Linked DNA regions of Callithrix jacchus. The protein of the gene in region 2 purifies or fractionates together with the protein of the main gene of each other region. This does not show direct contact. Links are inferred from orthologs where the notes say so. Each region holds a gene or a part of one and is shown on either strand. Other genes may lie near its edges.

Evidence for each region.
Region 1: the proteins of CCT4 (region 2) and WDR5 purify together in Homo sapiens (affinity purification with mass spectrometry; 3 studies listed by BioGRID and IntAct, with this or other methods). This does not show direct contact. The link is inferred for Callithrix jacchus from reciprocal best matches to the Homo sapiens genes CCT4 and WDR5.

What each region holds. Positions count from the first base shown.
Region 1 is NC_133502.1:182,700,154-182,707,408, reverse strand, and holds the start of WDR5 (WD repeat-containing protein 5), read right to left. Parts: upstream 3,458-7,255; 5' UTR 3,332-3,457; intron 2,993-3,331; 5' UTR 2,874-2,992; exon of another isoform or gene 2,676-2,873; intron 1-2,675.
Region 2 is NC_133515.1:52,245,960-52,253,114, reverse strand, and holds part of CCT4 (T-complex protein 1 subunit delta), read right to left. Parts: intron 4,601-7,155; coding exon 4,492-4,600; intron 3,540-4,491; coding exon 3,397-3,539; intron 1,198-3,396; coding exon 1,076-1,197; intron 766-1,075; coding exon 633-765; intron 1-632. UniProt on the Homo sapiens protein: Component of the chaperonin-containing T-complex (TRiC), a molecular chaperone complex that assists the folding of actin, tubulin and other proteins upon ATP hydrolysis.

The sequences.
Region 1 (7,255 bases), on a different chromosome or scaffold from region 2:
CAAAGAGCCCTGGACACGGCTGGGCGTGATGGTTCATGCCTATAATCCCAGCACTTTGGGAGGCTGAGGCAGGAGAATCACAAGGTCAGGAGCTTGAGACCAGCCTGGCCAATAAGGTGAAACCCCGACTCTAGTAAAAATACAAAAAAAAAAAATTAGCCAGATGTGGTGGCACGTGCCTGTAATCCCAGGAGGCTGAGATAGGAGAATTACTTGAACCGGGAGGTGGAGGTGCGGTGGGCTGAGATCGCGCCATTGCACTCCAGCCTGGGCAATAAGAGTGAACTGTCTCAAAAAAAAAAAATAAAATAAAGCCCTGTACATATTATAAAAAGAACAGCAAAAGGTTTCCTGACAGTAAGCTAACATGCCAAATGACAGAAGATGGCTTCAGGGTGCAGAAGTTTGGGAGCACAGCCAAATCCTAAAATGCACCCACTGATGCAATCACATTCACAGCCAAGCTTGAAGGCACCCAGCGGTCTGCGCCTCAAGGGTGGGCTCCGGTGCCTCCATGCACAGGCTGCAGGCACCAAGCTGCCTTCCAGAATGCTAACAGCTCACAGGCCTCGCCCCCAGTGAGGAGCTACAAAACTCAGCAAAGAGAGCAGAGCGAGCCAGAGCCAGCTCTGCCTGCTGGAATTCCCACAACCTGCCTTCTGGAAAAGCAGCCTCAAGTACACCAGGGATATTCTACGAGCAAGACCAACATGCAAGGGAATGAAAAAAGACTGTTTCAGCTTGACAATAAAATTTACCCAAAATCTCTCTAGTAAGCAGCTAGTTTCCTCCATCTCGAGAATAGATCCATTACTTGAATACGTCTCATAAAAGCACAACAGGTTATTCTGAAAGGAGGCACAGCATCACTAAAAAAGCAAGCCACTGAGACATGCTTGCAAATACCACTGGCCATCAGAATTCTGGAAGCTAGCACCACCATCCATCTAACGAGTTTACACACTGTACGTTCTAGTTTGCAGCTTGAAACCGAAATCTTGCAAGGCTGCTTGTAACATTAAGGTGAAACGGAAGGCATCAAAAAGAGTCTCAAAGTCTTGATGCAAGAGGAAGGCAGAGAAACTACAACACCCACTTTCCAGAAAACAGGTGTGGCCACAGATCCATTTCGCCTGCAGCAAAGATTCCCTTCGAAAGGATGGATCACGATGCATCTAAAGCCTGAGCATCACACACTCTCACACACACACATACACACACACACACACACACACACACACACACACACGAGTGGGGAAGGGGAGGGGCAGGCCCTGTAGAGCTGCCCAGAGTACAAAGTGCCAGTACAAAGCCAGTCCTCGGTAAATGCCGGCTACATGGTGCTTGTCATAAGTGCAACCTGGCCATGGCAATTTAACCCAACTGCTGCCTTCTCCCTGGCACGCTGGACAAGTACAAGGAGAGGGAGGAGCTACGGAAATCCAAGCAAAAAGCTGCAAAGTCCACTGCAAAGGTCCTAGCCGGAGACAGCCAAGTCAGGGCAAGAGCTGAGTGAAGTGTGGCCGTTCCCTACCCAAGTGAAACACCAGAGGAACAGAAGGCAGAACCGGCAGCTCAGAGGGCCGAGCAGCTCCAGTCAGCTGTCTACTCACCTAGGTGAGTCCAGATGCCTGAAACACCCTCAGGCAAGGCGCAGCAGACTGGCGGTCTTACAAAAGGAGCTCAACCCCTCCCAGCTCAGGCCCACCCACCCCACCCTTTGGGCTCTAAAAACATTAACAAGTAAAAGAAACAAAGAAACAAAAAAAACCCTTAACTTTAACATGCCTTTTAAGAATAGAGTTTCTTGACACTACACACCCACCAATTTCTACCTCAGTGGTGGGGTCTAGGCTTGAAATTTTCTTTTTTTTTTTTTTTTTTGGGTCGAGGCTGGAGTGCAGTGGCAAGATCTTGGCTCATTACAACCTCCGCCTCCGGAGTTCAAGCGATTTTCATGCTCAGCCTCCAGAGAAGCTGGGATTACAGGCGAGCACCACCATACCCGGCTAATTTTTTGCATTTTTAGTAAAGACGGGTTTTGCCATGTTGCCCAGGCTGATCTCGAAGTCCTGAGCTCAGCAATCTGCCTGCCTCAGCCTCCCCAAGTGCTGGATTACAGGTGTGAGCCACCACACCCAGCCCAAAGCTTGGCATTTTCATAAACACCCAGGAGTTTCTGTGAAGAATCACTTTAAGGGAACAGGAAGGTTGGCGACTTGATGCTGAAAAAGTGGGGGCCAAGAAGGTTCCATGCACGGTGATGAGGAGTTGACCGCCCCCGCCCAGGTGCGGCCTGGCTCCTCCTAGCAGCTGCTGCTTTTCATCCAGGTAAGCCTGACCACCTGAAGCCCAGCAACTAAAGCTCAGTATGCTCTCCTGGGCTGGATGCCACTGGCGGATTCCGGAGTCCCTCAGTCCCCAAGGTGGAGCCCAGGAATCGGCCTGCGGCATGCTGTCCAAGAGAGCATGCTGCGTGCAGACCGGAATGAATGTGCATCCCAAACAGCAGCCAGGTGGCCGGCCCGACAGCGGTGGGAACCCGGCGCTGCGCATCTCAGGTCCTGGACGGGCTCCCGGCCTGGGTCCTTCGCTTACCCATCTGTCTTCCCCACCGGCTAGCACCGCACCTGCCCAGGTCACAGCGTAAGCATTTGGGAGATAGGAAAACAGACCTGGGTAGCTGGAAACTTGCCTGCGAGACAGCAGGGAGGGTCGTTAGCGGGAAGTAACAGCCCAACCTCCGTCTAGTCCGGGAACGTAACCGCTCAAGATGGCTCTCGCAGACCGGCCAGGACTGGTCTGCGGCCCCGCGCGAGGAGGAGCGGGGGACCCTCCGTTCAGGAGCGAGGACCCGAACCCCAGGACCCCACCTAGCGAGGTGCAGCCTGGCTGCCTCCGGTTGGAGTGAGCGGCGGGAGCGGGCTGGGGCGTTTCTACGAAGGGAAGCGCCACGTCCGGGGACTGACTGGCTCGTGGGTCTGGTCCTTCCCTGGAGATGGAGGAAGAGGAGCGATGTGAGGCCGGGCGCGCCGCCGAGGGAGAGGCCCCAGTACCGGCGCTCGGGCCTTGTCAGCGGCCCGCCAGGGAATCGGAGGTGGGAGCGCCGGTGGGGGCGGGCGGGGTGCAGGGGCCTGCGCGCGCGGCCGTCCACCGAGGAGCCCGTGAGGGGGTCCCGGGCGGGGCCGCCGCAGTGGGGGTAGCGCCGGGGGCTGGGCCTGGCCGGAGGCCCGGCAAGGAACACGTGCGGCGGCCGGGGACGATGTGAGGGCTTCTGGCGCCGTCCCACTCCCCGCCTCGTGCCCCCCGGGCCGGGCGGCTGCCCACTTACCTGTCGGGCCGCGGCGGCGGGGCCGGGCGCTCGGGACGTCGCGTCGGCCGCCTCCTGGGCGGGAGCGCGGACTCTGCGCGACAAGGCGGCAGCTCCGGCGGGCGCCAGGCGGCGGGGGCGCAGTGCGCGTGCGCGAGGGGAGGGGGCGTTGTCCAAAGGCGGGGCGAGCGCACAAAGCCCGCCTCTCGGAGAAGCGCTACGGGCCGCGGCTGCGGCCAGAATGCCTCGGGCAGGCCCAACGCTTTAAAGGAACCGCGCCGGGAGCACGCTTCCCGCTTTAAAGCTTTAATCCCGAATTCAGCTGCCGCAGGCCCTTCTAATGCACTTCCTAAAAATGGAAGTATAATAATACATACAGGAAAGTGCTAGTGTGCTCTCGCGTTTCCAAGACTGAGTACGCCCTGCACACTGGGACCAGAGGCCCTCCGGGACCCGCGCAGGTGGCGTCGCCTGGCGTTGTCCCCGGAATCGAGGCGGACCGGGGCACCTCCCCGGGCGACCAGGCCCCTTCTGGATCATCGCCGGTACGGATGACAGCGGCAGTGGGCGTTTGGAAAGCACTTGGGGCCGCGCCCGGGCGCAGTGCCCCCCATGTGGCCGCCTACCCTGGGCGGGCAGGACGACTCCGGCCCATTTAGAAGCCCCAGAGCCTGCGCGTTCACTGAGCTCGGAAGCCCGGGCTGCGCCTCCCCGCGGGGCCGGCTGCTCTTCCCGCCTCTGCTGGCACAGAGCCAGCGGTGCGCGCACCTGCTCCTCCCCAGCCCCGCGGACTGGGAGAGCCGCGTTGGAGACACCCGCGCCCGCTCCGCAGTGCGCAAACTCACTTTGCACAGGGCTCTCTGGGGCCAACCCTTTCCTCCTGGGCGGGTATTTTCACCTACGGGTACAAGGGGGTGGTCCCCAGAGGAGGACCCCGGGGCCTAGAAGGTGAGGCCCGGTCGTCTAGCCCTGACTACTGTGCATTCTCGCCTCCTGCTTCACTTCTTAGAGCCTTGGAGGTAGGTACGGCCTCCCTACCCGCTCAACTAGGCCTGTGGGAAGAATAACATGCAGTCACTTATTCTCCAATTTAAAATGGGAACACAGAATATGACACAGGAACCCGTGCAAACAAAGGGACAGAGCATTTGAAATAAAAATGTCCGGGGAGAGTGAGGTGTGCGCTTGTCAGAAAGGCTGAACCGAAAGACTGGCAGATGGTCTGGAATCCCCTTCCCAGGAAGGACACAGAAGGGAAGGTTCCTGTGTGGTCCGGCAGGGCTGCGTGTGGATCTGTGTGCCCAAAAGGCCTGGTCCCTTGGGCCAGGTGCCCTGGAGCATGGAACAGTGACTGTCACAGGTTAGCAAACCAAGCTCGGATGAAGGCCATCTCCATTCCGTCCACCTGGCTGCCTGGGCCAGAATCCCCGCCCATCACCTGCTGTTCTCCCCCACACTGCTTCAGATCTCAGATCCATCTACTTCTCCCCACCCCTCCCCACCCTAGCTCCCACCTGGCTCTTTTCCAAACCTCCAGACAGAGAAACTCCTAAAATTCCAGCTCTCATCCGTCAACTCCCCAGTTTAAAACTCAGAACCAGCTTCCCCCTGCCCTAAATTCCCTAATTCCCACTGCCCAATGCTGCTAAAGTGTTTACCAGACCCCGCCTCCTCTTCCAAATTAGCACCGCCTCCCAAACTGCAGCCCTGGTTCCAGCCCCAAAGCAAAAGTATTTCCAGTCCTTCAGCCCTCCGGGCAGAGCAAAATAAGGGACTGGCTCACAGAAGCCTCAGAACTCAAACCAGGTTCCCAGCCACCCCACCCTCAGGAGATAGAGCCTTCTAGTAAAAATGAGAAACTCCTCTAACCCTGTTCAGCGTTTTTGCAATCCACCCTGCAGTCATAGCTAAAATTCTGAACCCGGCCAGGCAGGATAGCTCACGCCTGTAATCCCAGCACTTTGGGAGGCCAAAGTGGGCAGATCACCTGAGGACGGGAGTTCGAGACCAGCCTGACCAACATGGAGAAACCCTGTCTCTACTAAAAATACAAAATTAGCCGGTTATGGTGGTGCATGCCTGTAATCTCAGCTACTTAGGAGGCTGAGGCAGGAGAATCGCTTGAACCTGGGAGGCGGAGGTTGGGTGAGTCGGTATCAGGCCACTGAACTCCAGCTTGGGCAACAAGAGCAAGACTCCATCTCAAAAAATAAAATAAAATAAAATAAAACAAAATTCTGAAACCATATAACGCCAGCAAGGAAGAGCAATTTAACAAAGGCAAGAAATTTGCTTTACTAAGTTTTAAATCCTTTTATATCCTACCCAAACTGTTGTCGGGCTCAGGAAAAAATATTACAAGTGAAAATAGAAGGGAAAACAAGAATCACAGAAGAGGGGAAAAAGCACGAAGATTTCTTTTTCCAAATATTAACCAGGCTTTAGCCACCAGGAGTGAATTTGAAAATAGAACTGCTTCTCTGAACAATTTTTTTTTTTTTTTGAGTCGGAGTCTCTCCCTCTTGTCACCCAGATGCAGTGCAATGACACTATCTTGGCTCGCTGCAACCTCCACCTCCCATGTTCAAGCAATTCTCCTTCCTTAGCCTCCCAAGTAGCTGGGATTACAGGCACTTGCCCCCACGCCTAATTTTTGTACTTTCAGTAGAGATGGGGTTTCACCATGTTGGCCAAGGTGGCCTCGAACTCCTGATCTCAGGAGAACTCCTGGCCTTCTCTAAACAATTTTTTTAATAAATATAACATTTTGGCGGGTCCCAGTGGTCCATGCCTATAATCCCAGCACTTTGGGAGGCCGAGGCAGGCAGATCATGAGGTCAAGAGATCGAGACCATCCTGGCCAACATGGTGAAACCCATCTTTACTAAAAATACAAAATAATTAGCTGGGTGTGGTGGTGGGCACCTGTAGTCCCAGCTACTCAGAAGGCTGAGGCAGGAGAATCAATTGAACCCAGGAGTCGGGGTCGCAGTCAGCGGAGATTGCGCCACTGTACTCCAGCCTGGCGCAAAGCCAGACTTCATCTCAACAATAAATAAGTAAATACAACATGTCTAGCAGGTTTCTCTTTACCCCAACTCAAGGATCTCAGGTCAGCCTGACAGTCCAAGTCTGCTGGGCACCCTCCCCACCTGGCTCTCCTTCCCAGGGCACCCCTGACCACCCAGTGCCCACTTGGGCCTCCCGGAACCTGGTGAGTCTTCCAGCCCGCAGCTCCTCCAGAGCGAAAATATTTTCCACTGTAATTCCTGGGTCAGTGTCCCCTGGGTCTGGCGGAGCTGAGCCTAGCCCTCATCACAGACAGCACTCTGGGCACTGGCTCAGGAGGGTGGGGTGACGTGGCACCGACACTTGTGTGCCCTGAACACAGAATATGACACAGGAACCCGTCAGTGTGTTACATTTAGTACCTCCTTGCGCCCTCCCAAGAGGCCTGTGATGTGATGCCTTTATTATCTCCTTTTTACAATGAGGAAACCAAAGCTCAGAGAGGTTGAAAAGCTGCCACAGACCCACAGCCTGTGGGCACAACCAGGGAAGTGAGCCCTGGCTCAAGGCAGGACCCACATGCCTGCCAGTTCACCTTTAATGCTGCCGGGAGTGGGCTCTTCAGAGACGGCATCTGTGGGATCAGGAGCAGGCAGCGTGGCTCTATGGTAGCAGCAGGGCTGAAATGCGGAACTTCAGCCTTATAGGACTTGGGACTTTCAAAGAACCCTGCTGTCACCTAGGGACGAGTATTTCCTTGGGGACAGTGGACTACCAAACTTGGAGAGCAAGGGCTACCAGCCAGTGATGGAGACAGCCCCTGGCGGGATGTGGTGTCCTCGAAGCAGGCAGCTGGGGAGCACTGGCCCCTTCCTAGCCAGCCCAAAACTTTGGGGGGCAGCGAATTCCGATGGCACTTGATTTGGGAGGGTGGTG
Region 2 (7,155 bases):
TTAAGTTCAAACATAGATGACTTTTAAGTGAAAATACTATGTACTGTAGAAATTCAACCAAAATTATACCAAGCAATAAATTATACAGACATGCATAGAAGAGTCTGGAAAGATATATGCCCCAAACTTGAGTCTTTTACTTTCAACTAAATACATTGCTATCTTACTTTTTTGCAAGTACTTTTTTATAACCAAAAAATGTAAAATGATTATCCTATTTTCATTGTTTTTAAAAGATGGGGTCCCTTTTTAATCTGTGTGAATTTGTAGATCAACAATGATGACAATGAAAAGATGGGGTCCCACTATGTTGCCCAGGCTAGAGTGCAGGGGCTATTCACAAGTGATGGAAGAGCACACTGCAGTCTCAAACTCCTAGGTTCAAGCAATTTTTCTGCTTGAACCTCCCAAGCAGCTAGGACTACAATCGGCTAGCTTTCAATTTCAATATCCAAACTGAGGATATAGACTTGTCACTTGTAGCACCAACAACTTCTGTTTTTGTCTCAATTCTAATAATTCTTTTGAGATCTATGCTTTAAATCACTAGCAGTATTCTCTGTTTTTAAAAAACAAATGCCTGAATTATTAAAAGGTTAAACACAAAGGGAATCAATTTCATTTCTACTTACATCTGTTTTGGGAGCAGATAAGCAAAACTGAATAAGTCCAATCTTGGCCTTTTCAACTCTGGTTATGCCGGAATTTGACACTTTTTGGGTGAGAACCAGCCCTTCCACCAACTCACAGTCATCAATTGTCCCACTGAGAAAAAGAGAAAACAAGGAGGGGTAGTAGTTAAGAGGGAGTGGACATCTGTACATTTTGTTAACAGATTAAAAGTCATCAGTTCAATAAAATGTGCTAACAAAATCTGTTATTGCCCCATTCCTGGATCTCTTTGATCCACTACTTACTATCATAATATAAACAAAACCTTGAGATTTCCATACTAATACAAGTTCTCATGAAAACAAAACCAGAGAAAAGAGAGCTTTGTGACTCATCTAGGTGTTTTTACCTTATTTATGCTCATTTTCAACCTTTTATTCAAGTTATAATTAGATATGCTTACCCAAGCTTCTTAACTATTTTAATATCTCTAAGATCTACACTGGTGGCTGTTCCTGGGTCAATCACTTTCATCACTGCATTTACACTCATTGGAGAAAGCAGACTTGAATACTGAGAAACAACCTAGAATTATTTAAAAAAAAAAAGGTTACCTTCACAGTAGAAATAAGTCTTAATTTTTCTATGACAAAGATACTTAAGAAGTGCTCTAATAATTTCTACAATGGGGTTTGGTTGGGAAGAGGTAAACACACATGAGAAGACAGCCCATAAACTGTCTTTTCCATTTATGTTGTCACCAGGGGTACAAAATAAAAACATGTATGTTTGCTTTTTTCTTTCATTAATATAGTAGCTCAGACTGTAGAATATCAAAGTCTTATTGGAAATTCAAAAAGCATAATGTGAATATTTCCTATCTAAAATTAATGTGTGATGAGACATTAATGTTAGATATGTACATTCCTGATGAGGGGCTCATAAAAATTGCTAACATTTATCAATCATTTAATATATGCCAGGCAGTGGCCTTCGAACTTTACATATTAACTCAATCTTCTCTGAAAAACTGAAACCAAGAGGTTAAGTCATTTGCCCAAACTAACAGCTTTGTTAAGTGGTGAAGTCAGCACTGAAAAAACACAAGCAGTCTAGAGACTCAATGACTAGTGTTTGTAATCATTATGGTATACTAACTGTATTAGTTATGGGAACATCCAACAGTATCACTTAGCGTCCCTAACACTATCTAACATTCAAACAAAATGAATCTATGGACTTAATACTGCTTTCTTTTTGAGACGGAGTCTCGCTCTGCTGACAGGCTGGAGTGCAGTGGCGTGACCTGGGCTCACTGCAACCTCTGCCTCCTGGGTTCAAGCAATTCTCCTGCCTCAGCCTCCTGAGTAGCTGGGACTACGGGTGTCCGCCACCACGCCCGGTTTATTTTTATATTTTTAGTAGAAATGGGGTTTCACCATGTTGGCCAGGATGGTCTTGATCTCTTGACCTCATGATCTGCCCTCCTTGGCCTCCTAAAGTGTTGGGATTACAGGCGTGAGCCACTGCACCCGGCCCAATACTCCCTTTTTTTTTTTTTTTTTTTAAAGGAAAAATGATTAGGGGGAGGGAGGGATAAACACAGAACATTACAGAAAACAGGTGACATGAATTCCAAAGAAATTTAAAAGTACAACACCGCTTTAAGTTTGATAACTAAGAAAAGCAGCATATGTATTAGTTAAGGGACGGACCACGATGGGCAGCCTGTCCTGGGTTCAAATCTCAGCTCTTTCTGTTACTGGTCCTCAGATAACTTACTTCTCTAGATCTACTCTTTTATTCTATAAAATGGGGATGTGACTACCTGAAGGCCTTGAAGAGGATAAATAAACGTAAAAAACTCGGGCAGGGCGCGGTGGCTCACGCCTGTAATCCCAGCACTTTGGGAGGCCGAGGCGGGTGGATCACGAGGTCAAGAGATGGAGACCATCCTGGTCAACATGGTGAAACCCGGTCTCTACTAAAATTACAAAAAATTAGCTGGGCACGGTAATGCGTGCCTGTAATCCCAGCTACTCAGGAGGCTGAGGCAGAACTGCCTGAACCCAGGAGGCAGAGGTTGCGGTGAGCCGAGATCGCGCCATTGCACTCCAGCCTGGTTAACAAGAGCGAAACTCCATCTCAAAAAAAAAAACTTATCACAATGCCCACCATATTAAGTATTCAATAAAAATTTTTAGCTGGACATGGTGGTGTGTGCCTGTAATCCCAGCTACTCGGGAGGCTGAGGCAGGAGAATTGCCTGAACCCAGTAGGTGGAGGTTGCAGTGAGCCGAGATCGCGCCATTGCACTCCAGCCTGGGTGACAAGAGCCAAACTCCGTCTCCAAAAAAAAAAGGATTTTGAGAAAAAAAAAAATTAGCTATACTACTAGTGATCCTACGGCAGACTTTCTGATTTGGTAGATGAAAAGGTTTCTAACAGGCAAATTAAAATATCCAGCTTTATGAAAACACTGTTACAATGATTGGATATGGATACAGTATACATTAAATATTCTAGCTCCTTTGTTAGCCTCATGGCTCATTTCTTCTCATAATCTTACTTAAACCAATTCAGTTATACAGATTTTAAGTTATCCAGTCAATCTTGAGACTTAGTTTTTACGTATTATATAGCATCAAGGAGCATAGAATAACATGCTTTAATTTAACCACTATCCGTTACTGCTTCTTGAGACTGTTTTTATGTATTGTATAGCATCAAGGATCACAGAAAACACACTTTAATTTGACAACTATCCATTAGTGCTTGTCTTACCTTTGAGTTCAATGAAGTGGTTGCACTATTTAACAAAGTTTCTCTGTCACTCAGTTCCACAGGTCGAGACATGTCAGTCAAGATTTCAATTCCCTTTTCCAGGGCCTTCTGGAATGACTCGGAAATGATGGTTGGATGAATCCCTGTTATTTGTGAAAGCCTAGTTATCTAATTATAACAGGTAAACTACAGATTTGACAAAACTTAAAATTTTTCTTTTACTAATGTCAAAGCAAGCACAAATACAAAATCTATATTATACAAAGGTATGCTATTATATACAAAAGTATGCTTCAGTTGTAAAAATAGTGGTTTGAATTACCTGCTAACTATGGCTAATAATTTATTTCCATGTAATTTAAAATAGATCAATCACATACTTAAAAATCCAAATTTTATACCTTTCTTTCTTTCTAAGATGGGGTCTCACTCTGTCACCCAGGCTGGAGTGCAGTGGCCTGATCTCTGCTCACTACAGCGTCCACCTCCCAGGCTCAAGCAATCCTCCTACTGAGTAGCTGGGACTACAGTTACATACCATCACACCTGGCAATTTTTTTCTTTTTAGTAGAGACAGGGTTTTGCCATGTTGCCTAGTTTGCTCTCAAACTCCTTGGGCTAAACTTATCTGCCAGCCTCAGCCTCCCGAAGTGCTGGGACTACAAGTATGAGTCATCACACCTAGCTGATACTTTTCAAAATATCACAAGTCTACATAATACGTAGAGTAAGTGACTGGAAAGTCACTACTATGATTAAACACTATCTACTAAAGCAAGGACAATCCTGACTTTCTCTCCCAAATCATCTTTCCTAAGAGTCTAAGATTGGTAATATTAATACCAGTCATTTTTGAATGGCAAAATTGATTTCCATTCAAAAAGGAGCCCAGCAAATATCAGAAGCCAAAGGAAATTTTCTTCTAATTACTATCACAAATATAGCAAAATCTAAAACTTTAAAAATTCTTGGTAAAAAGATTAGCTATTCTAAATCAAATCTTAAATCCCATATTACTTACTTATAACCTGGCTTTTCCTAAAGTTTGTTCTTTTAAACTTTTCTTTATTCAGTAATAAAGCACATTCTACCCACCTTTCTGAAGAAGCTTGGTACAAGAATCTAAGAGAGAGCCAGCAATGATGACTACTGATGTGGTACCATCTCCTGCTTCTATATCTTGAGCCTTAGACAGCTCCACCAGCTAAGTGAACAGAACATGCCAAGTTGCGCAATGAGAAATGAGAGAATCCAGTAACACCTAATGCAAATGATCATACCACTATCACAAACAGAATCTGAGGATTCAGCATAATTCTTGTTTTCTGATTTGTTGTCGACCTTGGGTTTCATTTAAAATTAAAGACTAGGGCCGGGCACGGTGGCACTTTGGGAGGCCGAGGCGGGTGGATCACAAGGTCAAGAGATTGAGACCATCCTGGTCAACATGGTGAAACCCCGTCTCTACTAAAAATACAAAGAATTAGCTGGGCATGGTGGCACGTGTCTGTAATCCCAGCTACTCAGGAGGCTGAGGTAGAATTGCCTGAACCCAGGAGGCAGAGGTTGTGGTGAGCCAAGATCGCGCCATTGCACTCCAGCCTGGGTAAGAAGAGTGAAACTCCATCTCAAAAAAAAAAAAAAAATTAAAGACTAATATATGATCTTCAGTTTGGATTGTGGGTTGTAATCTCCCACTGCCCTGGTACTTAGAAGTTCGAATCAGAAAGCAAAAATGCTGTATCAGGAATACTCTATAGACTTGGAAGCTAAGATAACGGGGCATTCCAGATGAGCCTAGAGCATCAAACTTTTTTTTTTTGAGACAGTGTCTCACTGTCACCCAAGCTGAAGTACAGCAGTGTAATCAGGGCTCACGGCAGCCTTCACCTCCTGGGCTCAAGCGATCCTCCTATCTCGGTCTCCCGAGTACTTAAGGCTATATGTATGTGCTAACACATCTCACTATTTTAAAATACAATTTTTGTTTTATAGAGATGGGGTCCCATTATGTTGCCTAGAATGGGTCTCAAACTCCTGGGCTCAAGCAATTCTCCTGCTTTCAGCCTCCCAAAGTGTTGAGATTACAGGCATGAATGATCATATCCAAACTCAGAGTATCAATTTAAGTCTTTTGCCAGGTTTATTTGAATAGACCCCTTGTAATCATAATCTGATTCATTTAGAAAGCCATCTTTACATAACTTAAGGGATTTTTTTGATAGAAATTAATTTTTTTCTGTTTGTTTTGAGACAGAGTTTCGCTCTTGTTGACCAGGGTGGAGTGCAATGGTGTGATCTCAGCTCACTGCAATCTCTACCTCCCAGGTTCAAGCAATTCTCCTGCCTCAGTCTCCCAAGTAGCTGGGATTACAGGCATGCACCACCACACCTGGCTAATTTTTGTATATATTTTTTAGTAGAGATGTGGTTTCGCCATGTTGGTCAGGCTGGTCTCAAACTTCTGACCTCGTGATCCACCCACCTCGGCCTCCCAAAGTGCTGAAATTACAGGCATGAGCCACTACTCCCAGCTGATAGAAATTTATTTCTAATGAATTAGTTTTTGCTTATATGACTGGACACTAGAATTATTTTGATATTTAGTTGAACCATTATTTTTAATAAATGTCTGCAAATTTAGACATGATTTATTTTACATACGATTATTTTGTTCTCTTCCACTACCCACTGAATAATTTGTACTAAACGAGAAGCATAGACTGGGCGTAGTGGCTCACGCCTGTAATCCCAGCACTTTGGGAGCCCAACATGGGTGGATCATGAGGTCAAGAGATCAAAATCTGGCCAATACAGTGAAACCCCGTCTCTATTAAAATACAAAACTTAGCTGGGCATGATGGTGCACGCCTATAGTTCCAGCTATTTGCGAGGTTGAGGCAGGAGAATTGCTTGAAGCCGGGAGGTGTAAGTTGCAGTAAGCCAAGATGGCACCACTGCACTCAAGCCTGGAGCCTGGTGAAAGAGCAAGACTGTTAAAAAAAAAGAAAAACAGTAGGATTTATGTTTCCAATCTCCTCATTCCTCAAGTGTATGCCACATTTCCATAGACAAGTATAAGGTAAAAAAAGTAAAATAACTACTGTTTCCAGTAGATTATTTTTAGACAATGAATTTTCTTCTGTGGACATGGTGAATTGTTATGTACCGTATCCTAATAATACAGCAATCATTTGAGAGAAAAAATATTCATTTCCATGGACAAGTATAAGGTGACTTGTGTTTTTTTCCTTTTTTTTTTTTTTTAAGACAAGATCTTGCTCTGTCACCCAGGCTGGAGTGCAGTGGCACTCTGACCCTGGGCTTAAGCGATTCTCCCACCTCAGTCTCCTGAGTAGCTGAGACCACAGGTGCACACCGCCACACCCAGCTATTATTTTTTTGCATTAGGGACAAGGTCTTGCCATGTTGGCCAAGCTGGTCTCAAATTCCTGAGCTCAAGCAATCCTACCACCTTGGCCTCTCAAAGTTCTGGGATTAAAGGTGTGAGCCACTGTGCCCAGCTGTTCTGGGGTTTTACTGTCACCCAGGATGGAGTGTAGTGGTGTGATCACTGCTCACTGTAGCCACAAACTCTTGGGCTCAAGCAATCCTCCCATGTCAGCCTCTGGAGTAGCTGGGACTAAAGACATGTACCACCACGCCTGGTTTGACTTGTTTTATTATCATACCACACCAAAAAGCACAATGTTAAGCACACAATGTATCCTAAAAATATGACTGCTTAGCATAAAAAGC